Linked DNA regions of Mus musculus. The protein of the gene in region 1 interacts with the protein of each later gene in a pairwise test. Links are inferred from orthologs where the notes say so. Each region holds a gene or a part of one and is shown on either strand. Other genes may lie near its edges. The genes, in order: Akap9 and Pkn1.

Region 1 (11,901 bases):
TGCAAAGGGAAGATAGTATTTTAGAACAGATTTTCTTAGCACACAAAGTAAAATTATAAAGACATATTTTAAAAGGTTTCTGATTTAATTATAAATGGAAGAATAAGACTACATCAATTGTCAGCAATCAGCAGAAATCATAGTGCCTTATAATTATGCCATTATGAGTAATTAATAAAGATTGGTAAAGAGCCTGTAACAACTATTTGGAAGAAATTAACAGCTAATATCCTAAAAGCAAGCGTCTTCAGTTTATAAAAAGAACTAATTGGATTCTCCCCCACACTGTAAAAGGAAACCAATTCCTGGAGCACCTACATTTTATACCAATTCAAATAAATTGGGAATAGCTGGTTATAAGTCAGGAAAAAAACAACAAAAGTAATTCAAAGTCCAAATATTTCAGTTCAAAAATTAGAGTTCTATGCAATTCATATGGTTCTATTAGATTTTCCTGAACCTCTTAATTACTGGCTCTCAATATGCAGAAAGAATTGTTCCACATATAGAAACTACTGAATTTATTCCTGATAGTTAAGAATTAACATTATTTATACAAGTGCAACAGGCAATCAGATATAGAAAATATCCATTATATATCACCCATATTCAGTCTCATATAGTCTTGCTAGGTCCATTAGCCCAAGGAAATGAAGAAATTGACCAATTATTAATAGGAAATATGTTAGAAGCATCAATAGTTCATAAAAAAAAACCAAGTTAACAATAAAGGTTTAAAGAAAAAAATTTCTATCACTTGGCAACAAGCCAAGGAAATTATAAGAAAATGCCCTACTTGTTCTCTGTATAACCAAACCCCATTATCCACTGGAAGTAACCCCAAGGGTACCACAAGAAATGAAGTCTGGCATATGGAAGTGTTTCATTTTGCAGAATTTGGAAAACTAAAGTTTTTACCCCATACATACACAGGCTTTTAATGGGCAACTGCTTTGATTTCTGAAAAGGTTGATTCTGTGATTATATATTTACTAGAAGTAATGGCTATTGTGGGGATACCTGAACAAATTAAGACTGACAATATCCCTGCACATGTATCCAATAAAATGAAGCAAGTCTTTGTATATTATAATATAAATCACAGGCATATTATAGGTATACTACACAATCCTACAGGACAAGCAATTGTTTAAAGATCTAGTCGCATCTTAAAAGAAATGCTTATAAAACAAAATTGAAGAATAAAGACTCAGAAGGATAGACTAGTGCTGTTAACTTTAAATTTTCTGAACATTAATGTGAAAGGAACAACAGTGGCTGACAACTGGGTTATAGAAAAAAATGTGGAATTAAATCAGCCTGTATACTATAAGGATGTGTTAACATCAGAATATAAGTCAGTGAATGTATTGCACTTGGGGTGTAGACTTATTTTTATTTTTATAGGAAACAAAAAGATGTGGATACCATCAAACTAATAAAGCTCAGATTTGAGCATGGGAGGTCTTCTGAAAACCATGGACAATGACCAAAAAGAGGAAAGAAGAGAACCAGACCTTCCCCAGCTGGCCAGAAACGCCGGGACAAGAAAGGTTCAGCACCTAAGCGACTGACAGGCCATGAGGAGGAGAACTTCGGTCTCCTGCTATACAAAGCCATCCACCTGCAGAGCAGCCAGAGGCCCAGGAGCAGCACTACAGGCAAAGGTTCACAGAGCTGGGACAGAGATTAAGAGACTTCAATGAGAAATCATAGTGCCTTATAATTATGCCATTATGAGTAATTAATAAAGATTGGTAAAGAACCTGTAACAACTATTTGGAAGAAATTAACAGCTAATATCCTAAACACAGTTCAAGAAGCAGTACCCAAATTACAGGAAAGAGAAGCATCCCTGTTAGGTTCTTTTGTGGATGTGTTCTTGAGAGATCAACAGACAGATCACATCACACACCTGAGAACTCTGGAAGAGACATTGGGAAGGACTGAGAAGCAGCTTCAAAACTGCATAATTAGTAACTAAAACAAATGGGAGAAAATGTAGTATGAACTATTTTAGGTGATCTATGCTCTTCAGTGGTGGTTGGCTATTGGACTTCTGGGAACAGGAGTGGATATAAAAGCTAGCAGAGTCTGAGAAAGAGAATGAGAAAGGAGGTGGGGAAAGTAGTAGTAGGCAGAAGTAGGGTCCAGGAGACAGCAATGTGAGGAGGGGAGGGGAGGGGAGAGATGAGATTGAAAATAAGAGACAGGTGAAAGTGAATTGGGCTAGCCGACTGAGAAGACCATTGGTGACAGCTGAGCCGAGAGAAGCTAAGCTGAGCCACAGAAGATACTGTTAGCAGACAGAGAGAACAACCCACAAAGTAGCTATGTAATAAACACAAAGAATTAAGAGCAGAAGAGCTACACGGTTTTTGTATCTTTAGACAACACCAACATTAGAATTATTTGACAGCTATTACTCACATAGCAATTTCAGAGTCATACACAGAAATTATGCCATTTTCCTTTTTTACTTTACCTGGACTCAGTCCAAATCCATCCCTGTTAATATTGATGGAGCTAGTACTTGTCACTTGCTGCCACCGCCGCACCAAAAATTTCATTCTAAAAGAGCCAAACATAAAATCTCAAAGCAAAGTCATAAATATAAGCACGACATCCCACAAAACCATGCCATTTAATTATGAACACAAACCCTTCAGCACAGTCACAAGACCACCTCAGCTAAATGACACATAATTCTCCAAGTACAGTGCAGGGCACGGCCTCCCTTCATGCCCCAGGAGGCCACGCCAGTGTCTCTAATAAGTGGAGCAGAAGAGGATGTGGGGCAAAAATGGACAGAAAAACAGTGGACAACGAGAGGATGGAGGTAACAGAAAGAGGAAAGAAAGGTGATCAGGTAGATGATAAAAGAACAAATTTCGACAGGCAGTAACAGGAGGCCAGGGAAACTGGGGAGTGTTAGACCCTGTCATCAGGAACAGAAACAGTGGTGGTTTCAAAAGAAATTTGAATTCCTTGCTGACTGCCCATTCTGCCCTGGGCTGTGGAACTTTTTGGAGTACCAGTTGTAAGTTGTTAATGCCAATTTCAGAGTCCAGTTTAAGGAGGATCAAAATACCATGTGCCTATAGCAGGGCAAAGTGAAAGGAATGAGCCAGGAATGCTAGGAAACTCTTTTACTTCCAGAACTCGGTAGGCAGAGGTGGGCAGATCTCTGAGTTTAAGACCAACCTGGTCTACATAATTCCAGGACAGCCAGAGTGACAAGAGACCCCATCTCAATCCATGCCTTTAAAGGAGGGAGGTGAGGGCTTGATAGTAGCTTTTCTCCTTCAGGGAGCCTTCTGAACTTTGCATTACAGGCTGACTCCTGTCACCACCGAAGCCTGTTCCAGGTCTCTGAAGCCTATGCACTGTACTCTCTCCAGTAGAAGGGTGTTGTCTATTAATGTACCCACTGGGCTTGCCCTATTTTACCCTGTACAAGGTGATAAAGGAGCAGTGGGGCTTGAGGCCAACTTCACGTGAGGACCAAAGAGGCAGGCAGGGCAGAGGCCAACAGTAAGATAAACCCAGGCTCCAGTGCAGAGCTGTCCTGACTGAAAGAGGCTCATCTCCTTTCTGCCTGGCTGCCATGGCCTGTAGGGTGTGTTGCCTCAGCTTTTCCCTCTTCCTGCCTCATCTGTGAACTGAATTCCTTGACGGTAGTCTCTGAACAGCCTCCAGGTTTTAACTTAGTTTTCTTTGGAAAATATGGCACAGGATTTTAACTGGAAGCCGTTCCAACATTACCAAGTAGGGGCTGGAGAGAGAGAGAGAGAGAGAGAGAGAGAGAGAGAGAGAGAGAGAGAGAGAAAGAGAGAGAGCGCGCAGAGGTGACAAGCAGCGGCTGCTCTTGCGGATGAGCCTCATCTGATTCTCGGTACCCACTTGGCACCCAGGGGATCTGACATCCTCTTCTGGCCTCCGCAGGCTCCAGGCACACATGTGGTACACAGATATATACATGGGCATGACACCAGTCCACACAAAGTAGAAGTTAAAAAGAGGAAAAGGAAAAGAGGAGAAGAAACTGCCCCGCTCTGAAGCAGTAGCAGATGTTACCGACTGGCACAACTTTTTAAAAACCAAGATTTCTTTGAGACTCTGGTTGTGAAGAGAAAAAAGGGGATTTTGAAGCACAACCCAAAGCAGGCCAGGCGTGGGGGACAGCTGGGTCTCCATTCTCTGCAGCCACTAGCAGCACCAATGTCAAGTGCCCAGGCTGGACTACTGCTAGGGAAGAAAAGGGGGGCACTGAGAGTCCAATCCCTGCCCGAGCAGACTTAAACCAGGGCATTCCGCAACTGGGCACTGTGTAGCTGATTTTAACAGTGAAGAAAATAAACATATACCAGTCTTAGCAGTATTTTTTCAAAAACATCCTTTCATTGTATAATCTATGTGTGCCAGCTAAGTTAATTTGGATGAATTTTGGAAGGACAACGTGGACTGGGCCCGGCATGAGCGGGTACTTAGACCTGGAAAGTCATTGTCTAGGGTTTACACAGAACAGAGATGCTGCTGCCAGGGTGAGAACCTGGAGAGGAAGAAGTAGTGCTCAGTTCTAAAGTGTCTACCTCACATGCATCTCCCTAGCGAGCTGGCTTATGACCAAAGTGAGTGTTCTTTAAGACTTTACCTTGAAATCGCAATGGACACTCTGACGGCGGAGCGAAACCTGCTGAATGCCTTCGGGTGGTTGGTGATGGTCTTGGAATCTTTCAAGGCTAGGTGTCCCCCCATTCGGGCAAGAACCCCCAGGGTGACGTCTTCACACTCCTGGAATCCCCCCAGGAGCAGCAGCAGGTATTTTTTCTGATATATGAGAGCTTTCCGGAAACTTGAAGCTCTCAAGTATTTATTATAAATTTTCTATAGTTAATGAAGAAAAGAACAAAGACATCAGTGAGAAGTCATTTGAGCTGTTCTACAGAGGAAGACTACCTAGAGGAAAGGAGAAAGTCTTAGGCCACACGACAGGCTGCTGTCTTCTTTAACAGCCCAGCTGACAAGGAGAGACACAGCCTTTGAAGTGTAACTTCTAGTCGGAGTTGTGTTTGCACTGATTTGGGGGGTTAGCCCTTCAATCACATTTATTGCAAATATTTCTGTCATTGTGTATGTTTATAAAATATCAACTTCAGGTTGGAGAAATGTCTCAGTGGTTAAGAGCACTGACTGCTCTTCCAGAGGTCGAGTTTAATTCCCAGCAACCACATGGTAGCTCACAACCATCTGTAACGAGATCTGATACCTACTTCTGTTGTGTTTGAAGAAAGCAACAGTGTACTCATATAAATAAAATAAATAAATCTTTAAAAAAATATATATATTGGCTTCATTTTTAAAAAATTAGTCATTCATCCATTTAACTTGTTAAATAAGTTTCTCTCTGTCCCTCTGTGTCCACCGTGTAGTTGTCTGTCTGTCCCTTTGTGTCTACTCCATAGCTGTCTGTCTGTCCCCCTATGTCCACCCTATAGTTGTCTGTCTGTCCATCTGTGTCCACTCCATAGTTGTCTGTCTGTCCCTCTGTCCACTGCATAATGTCTGTCCCTCTGTGTCCACCCCATAGTTGTCTGTCTGTCCCTCTTGTCTTCCTCTCCTCTGTGGACTTAAGCTAACTGATCAAGGCAGCTTTACCACAGCATCCATCCTCCACATTACACAGGGTGCAATGCCTTCCGTGGACAGTCGTGCTCTGCTTAGGGAACTGAAAGAGAAGACTTCTGGTTGTCTATAGGGGATAAGACTCCGGGATGAGGGCCACATGGCTGACAGCAAGACAAGCAGAACTGAGTGTGTTCCAGTTCTATGAATGCCTCTCTACAGGCAGAGACACTGCAACTGTGCCAGACTGAAAAGATGCGCAGGGACACAGACTGAGCAAGCACTTAGCGTTCTGTGGTCTGCTCAGTTAGGGTCAGCAAGAGGGATCCACACGCATGCAAGACACCGCCTACCTGCAGGGCAGCATGATCAGTGTCAGGGCCCAGATTCCGAAGCAAGGCATCGTTTCGTAGTTCAGCTTTTAGCTTGTACACTTTTGCTTCTGCCCTCTTCAAGGCTTTCTGAAGAGATAACTTTTCTCTGTTCCAGACTTCCTTTTCTGAAGCAATGATGGCTTCGATGTCAGCTGGATCAATAAATGAGAACCTAGAACACTGCAGAGACATGGCCTATCAGATAATCTTCAAAAAGATGACCACATTAAATCACAACGGATTGCGGAGCCTTGGCCTTCCAACCCCACAGGGAAGCTCACAGTTACAATCACACTGTCTGGGTCTAGGTGTTCATTCTTACACATCACTGAGACAGAATGGATGTGAGGGAGTGACTCTCAGGCTAGCCACACGAATAAGCTATTTACTTGACTATGTAGTTGTTTTGCCAATCTTTCTACCTTTAAACATAAGGGTAAATACAGAGACTAACTTTTTTTTTTTAGCTTTAAAACAAATTTAAATCCAGAGACTACCTTATTAGTTTGAAATATATATAACTTAACAGCCTCCCCCCCCCCCCCCAGACAGGATCTAACTGGTGAAGGAACATTAACCCTTCCTTGCTAGTCAGAGATTTGATAATGAAGACCAGATTAGCTTTGAATTCACAGCTATCTGTCTACTTTTACGAGTTAGTGCTGGGATTAAAGGCATGTATCACCATGCCCAGATTAACATTATCTTTCACTTGGTCATACACATAGTAAATAGTAACTGATGAGAAAAAGAATCAGCTGGTAAGATGGCTCAGAGGGTAAGAGCAACCAACTGCTCTTCCAAAGGTCCAGAGTTCAAATCCCAGCAACCACATGGTGGCTCACAACCATCTGTAATGAGATCTGATGCCCTCTTCTGGAGTGTCTGAAGACAGCTACAGTGTACTTACATATAATAAATAGATCATCAAAAAAAAAAAAAAAAAAAGAGAAAAAGAATCAGTATTTTGACCATCTTTCAATATATATGTGTTTAGGAAACACATGTTTATATCTTAGATTGATTTGACTTGGTTATTCTCATGTAGAAGGCGGGATGCAGATGAACCATTCTGTATGTATAGAACTCAGAGTATGGTGGGGAGGCTGTCCTCAGTCATAGGTATTTTTATTATTATTGTCATCTTATATAATACTTTCTACATATCCTAATAAGATTTGTACATGATATTTTTGGACTATGGTTAAAAGGTAAAACTAGAGAGAAGCCCCTAGCTTTGAGTTATTTCTAAAAGCAGACGTACACAGTCTCTGCTGGCTCCTGTGTGCCAGTAGCACCTGTTCAGCTCCTCCAGCTTTATGACAATGCTCCGTAAGGTGTTCTTTTCTTCTGTTAGTTGGTTGATAAGTCTTGTTAACTCAGTATTTTGTCTCATTAGGCTTTCAGTTAAGGAGCCACAGGAAGAACTGGGGGGTCCTAAGCTGTGCTGGAAAAACAATGGCACAAGGTTATATAGACAGACAGACAGACAGACAGACAAACACACACATACACACACGAGGAACTCCTGTAAACACTAACAGGTGCTGACAGGGGACAGGGACTCCATGAACTGGTGCTTGGTAATAGTGAGAATGTGCCAAGCAGGCAAACAGCTGGGGAGGGCACAGGAAGCAGGACACACACACACAGCAAGACAGAGGGACAGAGGCACAGGCAAGAGTGTGCTGCTTTAAAGGAACTAGCAGCACTTTGTCAGACTAAATGTTGCTGCATGCTATGTCAGGCCTAAGCACGGCAACAGAGAGCCAAGGTGACTTTAGGAGGTGCCAGCACAAAGCTGACATGTTTACAAACATTCCTCTGGCAGCCGTGTACTTGGCAGAGCAGCTTAGGGAAAGATACAGTTCTGTTAGAAAGTTGTAACGGTTTACACAGGAAATACTGAGGCAGGGACAGAGAGTAAATGGCACATGAATGGACATTTACATGGCTTCTGTCTGCTCATGCATACAGGGAAGGGAGAAGGAAGATGGATTGTGGTGACTCCCAGCTTTCCAAACTGAGTGATAACAGAAACAGGAAGGGGAAGGAGGTCAGGGAGGGGAAGGGAAGACAACGTTCAGTATGAACGTGTGTGTGAGGCTCCTAAGGGATCACCACTGGAGAGTGTCCCCAGTAACTCACTGGACACACTCCTCTGCACAGGTCACGGCGCTACAGCAGAACAGCTGCAGCACACAGCAACAGCACACAGTGCACAGCACACAGCACCGGCACACAGCAACGGCACACAGTGCACAGCGCACAGCACACAGCAACGGCACACAGTGCACAGCACATAGTGCACAGCACACAGCAACAGCAACGGCACACAGTGCACAGCATACAGCACACAGTGCACAGCGCACAGCACACAGCAACGGCACACAGCAACAGCACACAGTGCACAGCACACAGCAACAGCAACGGCACACAGTGCACAGCGTACAGCACACAGTGCACAGCGCACAGCACACAGCAACGGCACACAGCAACAGCACACAGTGCACAGCACAAAGCACGGCACAAGGGTAGGACTCTGCTCACTCTGCTACAGGAATCCCAGGACCCCGAGCAGTGCCTGGGACACAGCAACTGCTCACCAAGCCAAGAGAGTCCATGCCGTGGGAAATGGGAGGTTTCACACTTGTAGTTAAGAGAAAAGCAAGACTACAGAAGCAAGAGAAAGGACAGACAGGACTGGCTGACAGCAGGTTAAGAGAGAGCAGAAATACAGAAGACAAGGAAAACAGGATTTAAGAAAGCAAAATACAGCTGGGCTTGGTGGTGCAAGCTTTTAATCCCAAGGCTCAGGAGGCAGAGGCAACCTGAACTCTATGAGCTTGGAGACAGCCTGGTCTATACAGCCGGTTCTAGGACAGCCAGGGCCACACAGAGAGAACCTGTCTCAAATAGCCAAAAAGTTAAAAAAGCCAAACAAGTGTCAAATGTACAAAGAGGGAGTGAAAAGTTCCACAGAGCAGTCACCTGTGAAGAAAGGCGCCAGTAGGATTCTAAGCTCATGGAGATAGGACAGGGAAGCCAGGTTACCCTCTTAAGAAGCCTTGACTGTGTAAGAGACTAATTACATAGCAACAATAACGAATGTGATTCCCCCTTAATCTCAACACCTCTGGGGGGCGGGGGGAAGCAGCACTGTATTTCAAATAAAAAACGAAATCAAAACTCTTACAAAATAGTCTGGTAATTTTCAAGCAGTTCATAATGTATTTGAGCTTTGTTCTCATTACAAGGAACGTTTAAAAGTTTTACCTCATCACCTGGCTGGCCAGTTAGTTTCTGTAGTTGCAAAATAATTCCATCAATATTCTCCTGAATCCAAATAAATGCATCATCACCGGCTGTTTCAAACTGCAGCCTTTAAGAAAAAGATAAAAAGTGAAAACAGACCTCCCAATGACACTCCTACACACACTTAGGCGTGGGCTGCTCTGTCTCACTAACACACCAGCAGCGAGAGGTCCTTGGTCACTTGACTTTTCTGGTTCAAGGTGTTAGCTGTTTCCAGATGGGTAATTTCTGCTACAGGAACACCATCTAATGTAGACGCATGTTATCTCTAAAGCATCTCTTCTTTGTTATGCATGTGGTGCTAGATGGCAGATTTCTCTGCATGCTTGAGGCCAACCTGGTCTACAGAGTAAACTCTAGGCCACCCAGGGCTACATTGTAAGACCTTGTCTCAACAAAACAAAACAAAACCAAAATTTAACATTTTGTCACGCTTAGCTGATCTGTCAAGTGTGTCATTTGTACCCCACAGGAGAAAATCTAACCTGCTGCAGGCTTTCTGGGCTACATGCTGAAGTTTTGAAGCCACATGCTGGAGTGTCTGTCTGATCATTTCCAAGTCATGATTATGGTCAAGTTCTCCTCCGTTTATTTCAATCAACTTTGTGAAGTTCCTGTCTTTGGCCTCTCCCATTTTCTGTTGAAGAACCCAATTTCTAGTCCGATCATCAGTGAAGTTCCAGGTGGCTGGCTGACAATTTCAGAGAGAGAAAGAAAGACTCCCAAATGAGCAGGAGTTCATTTTCCTTCCCTAGGAAACAAACCACCCACATTCCAGATAAAATTCTATAGACACAATTTTGGGATGACTTAAACATAACTATTTAAGTAACTCAATAACACCATTTGAAGTTTACAAATATTTTAAAACATTAAGGGTATGTAAAATTTTAAAATTACTCATAACTATAAAAAACCCTTATCATTGTGTGTGTGCATAAATATGTGAGTGTAGCAATGCCATAGGGCAGATTTGGATGTCACACACAGTTTTGTGGAACTGGCTCTTTCCTTAACATGAACTCAGGCCTGCAGATAGCCCACTGAGCCATAAATACTGCCTCAGAAATACTGTAAAGGAAACAAAATTTAATACCACCTCATAAATACTGTAAAAGCAACAAAAAATGACCTCATTCAGATTCTGATCCACAAGGCCTCTGCTTCCCGGTTTCTCCTCCGGCTCCAGCTCCTGCTTTTGGAATTCCTGCATAAGCCCTTGCAGTCGCTTTCCCTCCAGGTCTAGCTTGTACACCTGCTGCCTTTTCTCCTGGAGCTGGCGCTGCAGCTCTTCCACTTTGGACTGCAGCTCCTGCATTTTCTTTTGGCCCTGGGTGTTTGCCTCCTGTTCTGTCTGCAGTGTCTTCTGATGAACCTGCCTGTCCTTTTCCATCTGTTGCCTTGTTTGCAAGGAATCTAGTTTATATTTTTCAGTTTCACTTAACAGTTCTACTATGCGGCTGTGTTTTTCCTCCAGTTGTTTCTGTAGCTCTTTAAGTAGGTCCTCAGAAGGCAAGGCTGGCGGGGGCTGCCCGCCATCTTCACGGCTCTGCAACTGGGCATACAGCTCCCGTTCCTTGTCTAGTGTGCTCTTCATCTCCTGAATCCTAACTTGCTCTGACTCCAGGAGAGCTTGAAGCCCTAAGTTGCGGCCTTGTTCTTCTGATAACTGGGCATCATGCAACATTTTCTGTGACTCTATTTTCTGCTGAGATTCATTTAGTAGCTGCTTCTGTTGTTCCAAAAGGAGGTTTAACTGTGTATTTCTCCGTTTCTGATCCTCAAGTGAAAATTTCAGATCCTTGAAGGGAAAATATAATTTAAGATGAACACATTAATATTAAAAATACTTTTAAAGTATATGACCATGACTTTTTTGGTAACAGCAACATGGAAGCATTTGGCAACTGAAGACAGAATTTTTACCCAGTAGATGGTGGTAGTAAATTGCATCAAGGATATAGACACAATCTTCTCTGGCTAAATATAAAGCAGAGTACATTTCTCCAAATGACAATCTTCAATATGTATATATTCCTATAGTATATATATTCCTATAGTATATATTCCTATAATATATATTCCTATGCTACCTTTTCAATATATTTTTTAAAAATTTAAGAACTTACATACAAAGGCACAAGAAACAAATGTTCCACAGTGTCATAATAAGCAAAGAAGAATCATGGCATAGGGGAGGAAGCCATCTTTAGAGAGGGAGAGAGGTCATGAAATGAACATAAAATTAAAACACAAAGGCACTGTTTGTGGGGTGGGAAGGAAGAGCTGAAGGGTGGCCTGGAAGCATGAGAAGGCAATGAGGGTGGGGATGAAGCAGAGTGAAGCATGATACATGGGAGTCCAACAACACTTGCTGAAGGAGGGGAGCAGGAGGGACCAAGTAGGAGGAGACAGAGGGAGAGAGTCCTGGAGGAGAACTGCAACTAGTGGGAGGAGGGGACCTCAACAGGAAAAGCTAGAAACCTAGGATAATGGAAACTCCCAGAAATCTATGAGGGTGGCACTAGCTAAGACTCCTGGCAATGGGGGATAAGGAACTGGAAACGGCCATCTCCTCTAATCAGGC
Region 2 (11,901 bases), on another chromosome or scaffold:
TGTACCTGCTTTGCCTGCTGGGTTGGGGGCGCTGGTGGGCGACAGTGGGTGGGGCCTGGTCATGACAGAGTATTGTTCAGTGAGGCCAGGTTTAAATACCAATGCTGCCTTCCCTAATGAGTTCTTGGGTCAAACACTTTTACCTTACAGAGTCTTGTTTCTGTTTTGGAGGAGGCAATGGGGTTAGGAATGGTATGAGGGTCTGGTGGTGGTAGTGCACACCTTTGATTCCAGGACTTGGGAGGCAGAGGCAGGGGGATCTCTGAGTTTGAGGTCAGACTGGTCTATAGAGTTCTAGGACAGCCAGGGCAACTCAGAAAAACCCTGGGTGGGGGTGGGGAGGTGGGGGGAGTGAGGGTGAGATGATGGCTATGCAGAGAGAGGTGGAGCCTCAGCCAGTTCTGTGCTTCTCTGACACCTTTACTTTGAACATAGAGCTTGACAGTCTAGGCTGGGAACCCACACCCCTTCCCAAGGCCCCAGCAATGGCCTTGTGTGGGGGTCATTGTGTAGTGGGGCTGTCCTGTGTACCTCGGAATGTTGACATGGATAGGTGTCCCCTGTATACTTTGGTTGTAATGACAACAAGAATGACCCCAGACATTGACATGCGTTTCTCAAGGCGATGAGAAGACGACCCTACCTTCACTGAGAGCACAGCTATGGCCTCTTTGAGCATCGGTTTCCCCCTATGGTGACTACTGCTCAGATACACAGTGAGGAGATGACAGGGTCACAGGATCTGTGCTCTTGGCCTGCAGCCTCATCCGAAGGGCTTAAGAGCCTAGGAGAACATTGCTCATTGTGATGGTGATGGCTCACTACTTCTAGGTGTGCTGGACGTGGGATTCTTCCCAGCTAATGTGAATCTTGGCTCTGTCTCTTGCTGCCTGTGGGACCTGGAGCAGGGGGCCTCAGCTAGTTTGTCCATCCGTCTGTCCTTCCTTCCTTCCTCTCTCTCTCTCTCTCTCTCTCTCTCTCTCTCCCTCTCTCCCTCTCTCTCTTTCTCTCTTATCTGTCTTATCATCTCTAGCATCTACATCTTGCTGTGCTAGGTGCAAAGGTGCCTGTTACAATCCTATCTCTGGCAAGTAGGAAGCAGGAGGATCAGGAGTTCAAGGCCAGCCTTCACTATGTATTAAATTCAGAGCCATATGGGTTATATGAGACAGAGCCACAAAATGAAACATAGTACCTGACACATGGAGGACGTTCTCTGAGACCTGGGTGAGGCTGGAGCAGGCGCTGTTTTGTTGCTCTTGAGGTACAGAGCTTGTGTGTGCTACCAAGCTTCACCCTCTGATATCACCACCACTACCATTACTTTTATTTATTTGTTATTTTTAATTATATATGGTGGGGGGGTATGTACACATGCCCACAGAAGCCAGAGAGGTCTGATCCACCCAGAACTGAAGTTACAGGCATCTGTGAGCCATTTGTCAGGGGTACCTCGAACTCAGAAATCCGCCTGCCTCTGCCTCCCAAGTGCTGGGATTAAAGGCGAGCGCCACCATGCCCGGTGATATATTTTTTTTTTAGAGCAGTTTTAGGATCATGGCAAAATCCAGGGGGAAATAGAATCTCATATGTATCTTGATCCTGATATAAACAGCCTTGTAACTGCTATCTCTGACAGTTGAGATTTAGTAAATAGTTGCGGGCTGCTGTTTGGGGCCACTCAGGGTTGTTTCTTCCTGGTGTTGGCATCAGGGAGCGACTACTAAGCCAGGTGGGCTCCCTAGGCCTCTGCTGTGAGCAGTCAGGGTGGACATCTGGGTAGGAGGAAGCAGGAAGTTGATGCTGCCTGTGTACCGGAAGCATGCATGCAGCGTTTGTGTGTGTGTGTGTGTGTGTGTGTGTGTGTGTGTGTGTGTGTGTGTGTGTGTGCGTGCGCGTGCGTGCGCGCACACACACGTTTTCTCTCTCTCTCTCTCTCCCCTACAGAACTTGCTGTTCTGATACTTAAGGGGAAGTTGGGGACAAGGGACAAGTGGGAGGGTCTCTCAGTAGTGACATGAACACGCATTAGCAGGGCTGAGGGCCTGAAGAACCTGAGGGCCTGAGGTGGTGCATCTAAAAAGAAGTGTCAGCATGTACAAGCCCTTTACCACACACACAACACACACACACACACACACACACACACACACACACACACTCTCACACACATACAGTTGCACGTAGGCATGCACATGTGTATGAGCTTGTGGGCTATGGCCACTTGGCAGGTGGAGGGTTTGTGAGTAGCTTCCAAGGGACGAAAACTAGCACCCAAAGCTGTTTGTTTATCAGGGTGTGTGCAGGCAGGTGTGGGAGTGTGCATGTTTATGAAGCTGTGTCCTACCTCCATGCTGATACCGATGGGAGCAGTATGTGTGAGACTGCTCTGCATTCCTGAGCCTGGGTCCCAGACATACACCTGCAGGCGGCCGTGTGTGAATTAGCATTCTGTGCACACACTGAGCCAGGCACAGACCTGCAGAGCTAGACGCGCACACCTTTGGGAACTTATGTTCTACCTACACATTCGTGCAGGTGGGGACTGGTCTAGTCTGCTTTCCGTCACTGTGATAAAAGACTGACCAAAAGCAACTTGGGGAGGAAAGGGTTGGTTTGGTTTTATAAATTATAGTCCATCATGGAATGAAGTCAGGGCTGGAGCTCAAGACAGAAGCTTAAAGCAAAACCACAGAGGAGCACTGCTCACTGGCTCACTTCCTCTGGCTTGCTCAGCTTCTTTTCTTATCCCAGGTCCACCTGCCCAGGATGGCACTGCCCACAGGGAGCTGGGCTCTCCCACATCAGTTAGCAATGAAGAAAATATCCCATAGACACGCCCACAGGCCAATCCGACAGAGGCAATTCCTCAATTGAGGTGTGCAAATCTCACACTCGCAGAGCTGGAACTCTGACCACACCTATAAGACTGTGGTCCACACACATGCTGTGTACCACACAATATCCTGCCTGCTACATAATATACTGTGGATGTGTGTATCCAATGTGTCAGGCATTGAGGACTGTTTCTCCCTGGCTTGTCTCCAGAGAAGCAGGCATGGCCATTTAGGGGTTGATGTGGGAAGAACCTCTTCCATGGCACACACCCTTAATCCCAGTACCTGGGATATAGAAGCAGATATATGAGCTCTAAGCCACCCTGGTCTGCATAGTGAATTCCAGGTCAGCCAGAACTACATAGAGAGACCCTGACTCAAAAACAAAACAGAACAACTCCCAACCCCAAACAAAAACAACCAAAAAACTTGCCCTAGAGCTGGCCTGGCGCAGAGGATGCTGGGAACTGGAAGGGAAGAGGAAGTGGCAGTCCAGAGGCCCTGGCAGGGCTGAGGTTCAGGAAGAGGGCGAGGCTCTTAGACCAGACCTACGACCCAGATGGCAGCTGATCCCCCTTTGGATTCGGAGCTGGAGGTAGGGCTGGGATCTCCTCAGCATGGACGAAGGAGACGTGGGGTCACATGGGGTGGCAGAAATTGAGGTTCTGTTCTGGGTGCCTCTCGATTGGCGACTAAGCATAGGAAGGAGGAAGGGAACTGGTGATATCTCTCCAGGTTGGGGGGTGGTGAAACTTGGGTGCTGTGTCAGCGCTCAGCTTTGGGAGATGTGGGAGGAGATGAGCTCTGCTCTTTGGAGTACCAGATATAGAAGATAACAAAGCAAGACCATATAGTTTGGGAATGTAGATGAGAGACGTCTGGATATGTTTCTAAGGACAGCAAAAGAAACAGTAGCCTGCTCTGGGACTTCCTGGTTAGGAATGCAGGACACCAGGAGAGAAAGGGGGTCATCTGACCCTTCTGGAAGAACCCCATTGCATAGGTAACAAATTAAGGGAGACAGGCCATACCTGTGGGGACCCTGGTGTGCACACAGGGAAGGAAGGAGACTTGTGCTTGGCCTGGTCTTCACCTTCCTGTTTTCTTATTGATATTATTTTCTTGTTATGTGTATGTGTCTGTGGTGTTATGTCCATATGCACACCAGTGCCTGCTGAGGCTAGAGGCATTGCGTCCCCCTGGATTTGGAATTAGAGGCTGGAAACTGAATTCAGCTGCTCTGCCAGAGCACTATGTGTTTTTAGCTGCTGAGCCATTTCTCCAACCCCTGACTTATTTATTCATTTACTCATTCATCCATTGATTCATGCATCTATGTGTGTGTGGGAGGGGTGTCAGAGGACAACCTTTAGGAATTGATCATCTCCTTCCACTATGTAGATTCCTAGGAGATGAACTTAGGCAGGCTTGGCAGCAAGAGCCTTTACCCCTAAACCATCTCTCTGGCCAAGACATCCCATTTATGAGCGTCAGGCCTCTGTCCTTGGGATTTTGGGGTGGAGTAGGATAGGGTGGTGGTGGGTCAGGTGATCTGTGTTCTGGTGAGGCCACCTGCCCTCTAGCTTCTGACCTTGTGTGTGTGGTCCCTCCCCTACAGAGTGAGCCTCGAAGCTGGTCGCTGCTGGAACAGCTGGGTCTGGCTGGGGCTGACCTGGCAGCCCCCGGGGTGCAGCAACAGCTGGAGTTAGAGCGAGAGCGACTGAAGCGGGAGATACGGAAGGAGCTGAAGCTGAAGGAGGGCGCTGAGAACCTGAGGCGAGCCACCACTGACCTGGGCCGTAGCCTGGCCCCTGTGGAGCTGCTGCTGCGGGGCTCCGCTCGACGCCTAGACTTACTGCACCAGCAGCTGCAGGAGCTGCATGCACATGTGGTGCTGCCTGACCCTGCAGCTGGAAGCGGTGAGCAGAAAGCCTGGGAGCTGTGTTCTGTCAGGATACTGTCCTGGGTTCACAGAAGCCACAGGAGAGGCCAGGCTTACAGGGCCACTAGCACCTGGATGAATACAGTCACACCTGTTTCCCAGACCCCACTCAAAGCTGTCTTTGGCATTAGGAGTACCTAGATATAGACTCACCAGCATCCAGGTAACACCAGAGACCCACACTGTCACCAGATACCTAAGGACACCATTACAACTATTTTCAGACAACGACTGAGAAACATGCTATCACATGAGAATCCAGAAGCCCACAGTCACACTAACAGACACCCAAATACTGCACATCTGTCACCCTCATGGCTCCCTAAATCATTCCAATATGTAAAGAAGGAAGGAAAGAAGGAAGGAAGGAAAGTGGAGAACAAGTGAGTAACTTACCTGATGTCCCTCTGGCTTCTGTGTATACACATGTGCATGCACACATGTGTACTTGTACATAAAGAAAACCCACAACACAATTTATCATTGCCAGAGTTCAGTCACTTTATGTGTGTACATGCAGTAACAAAGCAATGGTTCCTTCATCTTGTACCTAAGATGGTCATGGTCACAGGGACACCAGAAGACACCCAGAGTTTATACTGTCACACACATGTTCAGAGAAGTACAGTCAATTATGCCACCTGGGCAACACAGCAAACCCGATTACGTGATTCCAGAGACAGGAGCACAATCTCGTCCAAACAGCGTCCAAGGTTTGCGTCCTGTCACTTATACCTAGAGAGACACACTAACTAACCCACAATGACACTAGAGCTCTCCCACTAGGTCACACCAACCTTGAGAGGTATCCCACCACTGTCCCATCCACAGCAGACTCTACCTACAGCCTACAGGCTCAGCCCCTCTACATATGGCTGTGTCAGCTTTTGGGGTCCAATACTGCTGGAGTTCAGCCAAGAGTCTCATAAGCCCTTTCTGCAGTTCCCCACCACTGCATCTCTCTTGTGTTACAGACCTCACCTCTGACAACGACAACAGCCAAGTCTCAAAACAATCCTAGAAACCCCTAGAGATCAGAACTGAGCTGTACCAACAAGAAGCAGTGTCATTGTAAGCTCACACATATACACTGTTACACCCACATCTAGGGTTCTACCACCAGTGGCCTACAGACATAATCACACACACACCAGTGGGCTTATACACCCTAAGGCAGATGGGGGCATTTTTTCCAGCTAACCCTGAAGACCTGCATACCTGGTCACTAACTCACTCTCCCTCATGCTGAAGCCCAGTCTGTCACTGAGAGCCAGATGTCTCCTGCCCGTGTACTGGCCCCTAGGCTCCTTTTCTGGATGAAGGTTTCCTATTGGCTGGGACAAAATCTCCCAGGTCTCCTGGGTACACTGAAGTGACCACTGTGTGATTCTCTTCTTTTCTTGTTTCCTCAGATGCTACCCAATCCCTTGCAGAGGGCAGCCCTATCTGCTCATCCACCAACCTGAGCAGAGTGGCTGGGCTGGAGAAGCAGCTGGCCATTGAGCTCAAGGTCAAACAGGGGGCAGAGAACATGATCCAGACCTATAGCAATGGCAGCAGCAAGGTGAGACCACAGTGCTCCAGAACCTTTCGTCACTGTGACGGACCGGAGGCTGTGTCTCTCCCGTGTGCTCCCTGCCTCTGACTTATCTACTCTGGGCATCATATTATTGCAGTACATGGCCATTTGTCTGTGGCTCTGCAGACACTTGCACAGAGATGTTCAGAGAGGTGAGGAGGATGTAGTTCCAGCTGGTACAAACTGGGCTATGAGTCCTCAGTCCAGTGGAGGTCCAGACTTTGTAGTTGAGAGCACTGAGGCTCAGAGAAGTGAAAGAGCAAGGCTGAGGTCAAAAGCTGAACTGGAGTGGCAACTTTGGAATTTTTGTTTCTTTACAAACTCAGAAAAAAGAATGTATTTTCATTTTAATCCAAGGTGTGGGATATGGGACTGCTTCTGACTGTCCACAGCAGCTGACTATGATTTGCCTCGTGCTCTAGCAGGGGCATGGTTTTGCCAGCTCCATATTGTTTCTGCAGTTGTGTAACACTTGAAATTCTGGGAACTTCTCAGAGGATATATAAATGCTACAGTCCTGATAGGTGGGTGTAGCTGGTGGTCATTCAGGGGGGATGGTTGCAGTTTGTTAGTAGTTGTACTCAAAGAAGAAAGGAGAAGAAAGAAATAAGACTCCAGGATTCCCCCTCCCTCCCTCTCCCCTCTATCCTTTCTCTCCTATCTAGTGATAGGGGTGAAACCAGGGGGATAATGGTTGGGGAAAAGAAGAACCCATAAAATAGCACAAGACAGGCAATAAGTGGTGCCCAAACATGGAAAGTGAAGGATAAAAATGGGAAATTAGAGAAAACAAACAGGGAATGGAGGAATGGATTTTGTTTTTTCAAGACACCAGCAAAAAATGTATTGTAGCTGTTGCCACTGGGATGTTTCCTGCTTTGCTCCCAAAGGGTTTTTTTTTTTTTTCTTCTTTTTCTTTTTTGTATATTTTGCTTTGAAAAAGGTTGAAGGACTGGCTGGGCAGCTGGAAAAGTTGCTAGTGGAAATGGAAGGGCCTGAGAAACAAACAAACATGACTGAAATGGAGAAAAGAAGGGGGCCACTCTGCTCTCTCTTCTGAAGGGTTGGAGTTGACCGTGCATGGGAGAGGTTGCGGATAGAGGTGGTGAGCACCAGGAAAGAGAGAAGAAAAGGCTCAGTCCTGAGAGCAGGAGTTTCCCTCAGGAGGAAAGACGGAAAGAAACTGTGCCCGAAGGCAGTCAGGTCAGAAACCGGCTGAGGAAGTGAGAGGACAAGCTGATGAACTGGTTAGAGAGAGAGAAGGGGTTAACCTCGAACCAGCTACAGCTCCAGAGATGGAGGAGGGGCAGCTTGGCCTTAGGAGATCACCACTAGTTAGTTGTACAGCATGGGCCTGCTGACGGTGTGGAAAAGGGTCATGGGGACATAGGATGGCATCCTCGAGGCATGATAGAGCTACAGTCTTTTAAAGGACTGTGACTTCTTAGGAATGCACTAGCTTTATATGAAACAAATTCTAAATAACTGTGCTACTCAAAATAGAATTATTCTCCAAGACTAGAAGGGATTGGTGACAGCTTAGACACCAGTCTGCAGTTGCCATGGTTAACATGGTGGGGGGAAGAAGCTGCAAATATTGGATCACGAAGTAGAACGAGGGGATGAATACAGTAAAAGACGAGGTGTTGGGTGAAGGGCGGTACTCTGATATACAAGAACAGATTCAATTTGATGATGTTACTATAGAACGTTGTCACTTAGTGGCTTTAAGAGCTTGGGACAGGGCTGGTGAGATGGCTCAGTGGGTAAGAGCACCCGACTGCTCTTACGAAGGTCAGAAGTTCAAATCCCAGCAACCACATGGTGGCTCACAACCATCCGTAATGAGATCTGACTCCTTCTTCTAGAGTGTCTGACACTCCCTTTTCTGGAGTGTCTGAGGACAGCTACAGTGTACTTACATATAATAAATAAATAAATAAATCTTAAAAAAAAAAAGAGCTTGGGACAAAGCTGAGGAGCCCAGGAGAAAGTCCACCTCATTTACAAAGATTATATACAAGGTTCTGAAGAGGCCTTCACTGATTTTTTTATTTTTTATTATTTTTATTATTATTTTTTTTTCTTTTTGGTTTTTTGAGACAGGGTTTCTCTGTGTAGCCCTGGCTGTCCTGGAACTCACTCTGTAGACCAGGCTGGCCTCGAACTCAGAAATCCACCTGCCTCTGCCTCCCGAGTGCTGGGATTAAAGGTGTGCACCACCACGCCCGGCTTATTTTTTATTTTTATTTTTTTTACAAAAATTAGTCTCAGCTGTGAACAAAGCCATATTAGACTATCAAGCAAGACAGGTGTTGATAGAGGACTTGGTTATGAAAATTTGAATACCAAATGTAAAAAAGTTATTAGACCATTAAAGGTTCAAGCAGTGCCTATAGATGATTGGATAAGGGATATGACCAATGTTGGATCTAACATGTGCCATGCTAATATAGTAGGTCAGGTTTAGCTATAGGTGTCCAATATCAAAATGCCTGGTACTTCAATTACAGGAAATTCAGTCATTTGCAAAGAGACTGTGACTAAGCCGCTAAAAGTCTTACATCTCAAAATGCCTGGTGCTAAATTGTGGGAAATATTGTCATTTGAAAAAAAATTGAATGAGGCATCTGTATAAGGAAATGTGTTTTCTAAATATAAACCAGAAGGAAGGTCCAGTCTCCAGGAGTGTGCAGGTGATGTGGCAAGAATTGCTGTTGGACTGATGAGTGTGTCGGACCAAGAGAGTTATCCAGGGCAGTTTCTAACTATCCAGAATTGGCCCTGCGGCCTATCTTGAGGCCACACAGAAAAAAAGTAGGAACAGTTTGCTTCTTGTCAGCCGGGAAATAACAAGCAGGCAGAAAAACCTCAATACTCAGCAAGAGAGAGTCACCAGGTTATAGGAAAAACCATGGAATTAAATCAACCGATATACTATAAGAACATCAGAGCGGAAGCCAGTGAGAGCTTTGCCTGGAGGATGCAGATGTGTTTATATTTCCACAGGGAAGCAAAAGCTGTGGGTCCCATCAGAACTGATCAAGATAGGAACCCAGCAGGAGAGGGCTCCTGAAAGTCTTGGCCACGGACCCGAAAAGCACTTATTTCATTGAAAATGTCTGTTTATAATCTCCCGCTACACACAGTTCATGGCTTAAAACAGAAGGGAGAAACGTAGTGACAGCTTTAGAGTTTTGGTTTCTTTAAAAACACAGAAATATTATAATCCCAGGAGTGGAATATGGGCTGCTCCAGACTGTCCACAGCAGCTGACTATGATTTGCCTCATGCTCTAGCAGGGGCACAGTTTTGCCAGCTGCAGATAGTTATTGCAATTGGTGACATTTGGAGTTCTGGGGACTTTTCAGAGGGTACATAAATCAGCACGGCCCCAGTCGGCAGGGTTGGCGGTTGTTGGTCATACAGGGGGTTGATTGCAGTTTGTTAGTAGTCGTGCTCAAAGGAGAAAGGAGAGAGAAATTAGACCCAAGGATCCCGATCCCTCTCTCTGTCCCTGTCCCTCCCCCTCTCTCTCCTCCTCCCCTTCCCTCTCCCTCTCTCCCTACTGTTTCTCTCCCTCCCCTCTCTCCCTCTTTCTCTCCTATCTAGTGATGGGGGTGAAACTGAGGGGATAAAGGGTGGAAAAAGAAGAACACATGAAGTAGCAAAGACCAGCTACACTGAGTTGTTGGGTAGCAGAGCTGGGACTGAAGCCCATGGACTGCCTGCCTCTGCACTGGCCCAGGAGGCTGGGACTATGTGTCCTTGCTCTTACCTGTTATGATGTGGACAGCAGCTCAGACTTGAGTTCCCACTCTGCCTGCCACCTTCCATGTCTGTCCCCAGGACCGGAAGCTGTTGTTGACAGCCCAGCAGATGCTGCAGGACAGTAAGACCAAGATTGACATCATCCGCATGCAGCTTCGAAGAGCGCTCCAGGCACTACAGGCTGGAGAGCTGGAGAGTCAGGCAGCTCCTGATGAAGCCCAAGGTAAGACCCTTCTTGGACATTGGCTGCCTGCATTCAGCCTTCCAGGGGTCCACCTGCAACCCACAATGCCTATTCCTGTCTATTTCTGGTTGTTTCATTCAAGGTTTGGGCTAGGATAGTTGTTGCCAAACGCCACCCTCAGGCCAAATCCACCTGATTTTTTTCCCTCCCTCCCTCCCTCCCTCCCTCCCTCCCTCCCTCCCTCCCTCCCTCCCTCCCTCCCTCCCTTTTGTCCTTCCTTCCTTTTGTTGTGGTTAGGGTGGAATCCAGGGACTCCTATAAACTAGGCCTGTGTTTTTATCGAACCGTGACCCTAACCCTTCAATGATAAAATCTATGTGGCACTGTAGTACTTGGCAAACCCTATCCCTTGTTTTTAGGGTTGTTTTAAGATTTATCTGTGCCTGTGTGCATGCATGTGTGCATGTGTGTGTGCAGGTGCCTCAGGAGCCAGAAGGAGGCATCAGATCTCTGGAACTAGAGTCTCGGGTGGTTGTGAGTCATATGCCGTGGGTCTGGGTAAGCAGACTCCTCTGGAAGAGCAGAAAGCTTTTCTATAATCAAGCCATCTCTCTAGCCCCACCCCTGGTTGCTTTCAGTTTAGTTTTGAGACAGGATCTTTCTATAATAGCCCTGCCTGTCCTGGATCTTAGTATGTAAACCAGGCTGGCCTGTGACTCACAGAGGCAGAGTTCTTCCTGCCTCTGCCTCCTGAGTGCTGGAATTAAGCGTTTGTGTTACCATATCGAGCCTGTGATTGCGTTTTGAGATAGGGTGTCATTATGTAGCTCTGGCTAGCCTTGATCTATGTAGACCAGGCTGCCTCTAACAGATCGCCTGTCTCTGCCTCCATCCCCCACTCTATCCCTTTCTTTTTCTTTTTCTTTTTTTCTTTTGAGAAAAGATTTCACCCTGTGGCCTAAGCCAGACTTGAACTCTCAGTCCTCCTGCCGTCACCTGTGAGTGTTTGGAACCACAGGCTTGCACTGCCAGGCCCACATGCCTTTGTAAAGAAAGTTTTACTGGCATGTTTTCATGTTTGGTTTTTACCACATGCACAGAGCTGAGAAGTGGTTACTGAGCCTTGGTGAGCCAGGCGTAGTGACACAGGCCTCTCATCCCACATGCCTTTAATCACAGCACGCAGGGGGCAGAAACAGGCACATCTTTGGGAGTTCCTGGCCAACCGGGGCTACATGGTGAGGCAAAATAGAATAGAATAGAAACAACCATCACAGATGCCAAGGGCTGTCCTACTCACACTGGCCCTGGACTTGTGGTAATTCTCCTGCCTCAGTCTCCCAGATGCTATGGTTGATTACAGGCATGTGCTAATATGACCAACATTTTTTCTCTTGTTTCATTTTCCCTGTTATTTGTTTTTGTGTATGTGTTGGCACAAGTGAATGAGTCACCTTTTGGGAGTCAGTTCTCTCTCTCCCTCTCTCCCTCTCCCTTTCCTTCTCTTCCCCTCCCTCCCTCCCTCTCTCTCCCTCCCCCTCCCCCTCTCCTTCTCTGCTGGCCTAGAACTCACTCTCTGATCCCAGCT

The links.
Region 2: the proteins of Akap9 (region 1) and Pkn1 interact in a two-hybrid assay, tested with the Homo sapiens proteins (2 studies listed by BioGRID). The link is inferred for Mus musculus from reciprocal best matches to the Homo sapiens genes AKAP9 and PKN1.

The regions. Positions count from the first base shown.
Region 1 is NC_000071.6:4,063,285-4,075,185, reverse strand, and holds part of Akap9 (A-kinase anchor protein 9), read right to left. Parts: intron 11,116-11,901; coding exon 10,447-11,115; intron 10,006-10,446; coding exon 9,800-10,005; intron 9,382-9,799; coding exon 9,276-9,381; intron 7,447-9,275; coding exon 7,264-7,446; intron 6,180-7,263; coding exon 5,979-6,179; intron 4,888-5,978; coding exon 4,655-4,887; intron 2,572-4,654; coding exon 2,486-2,571; intron 1,773-2,485; exon of another isoform or gene 1,408-1,772; intron 1-1,407. UniProt on the Homo sapiens protein: Scaffolding protein that assembles several protein kinases and phosphatases on the centrosome and Golgi apparatus. Required to maintain the integrity of the Golgi apparatus. Required for microtubule nucleation at the cis-side of the Golgi apparatus.
Region 2 is NC_000074.6:83,685,491-83,697,391, reverse strand, and holds part of Pkn1 (serine/threonine-protein kinase N1), read left to right. Parts: intron 1-3,275; exon of another isoform or gene 3,276-3,396; coding exon of another isoform or gene 3,397-3,432; intron 3,433-4,455; coding exon 4,456-4,756; intron 4,757-6,191; coding exon 6,192-6,343; intron 6,344-10,207; coding exon 10,208-10,352; intron 10,353-11,901. UniProt on the Homo sapiens protein: PKC-related serine/threonine-protein kinase involved in various processes such as regulation of the intermediate filaments of the actin cytoskeleton, cell migration, tumor cell invasion and transcription regulation.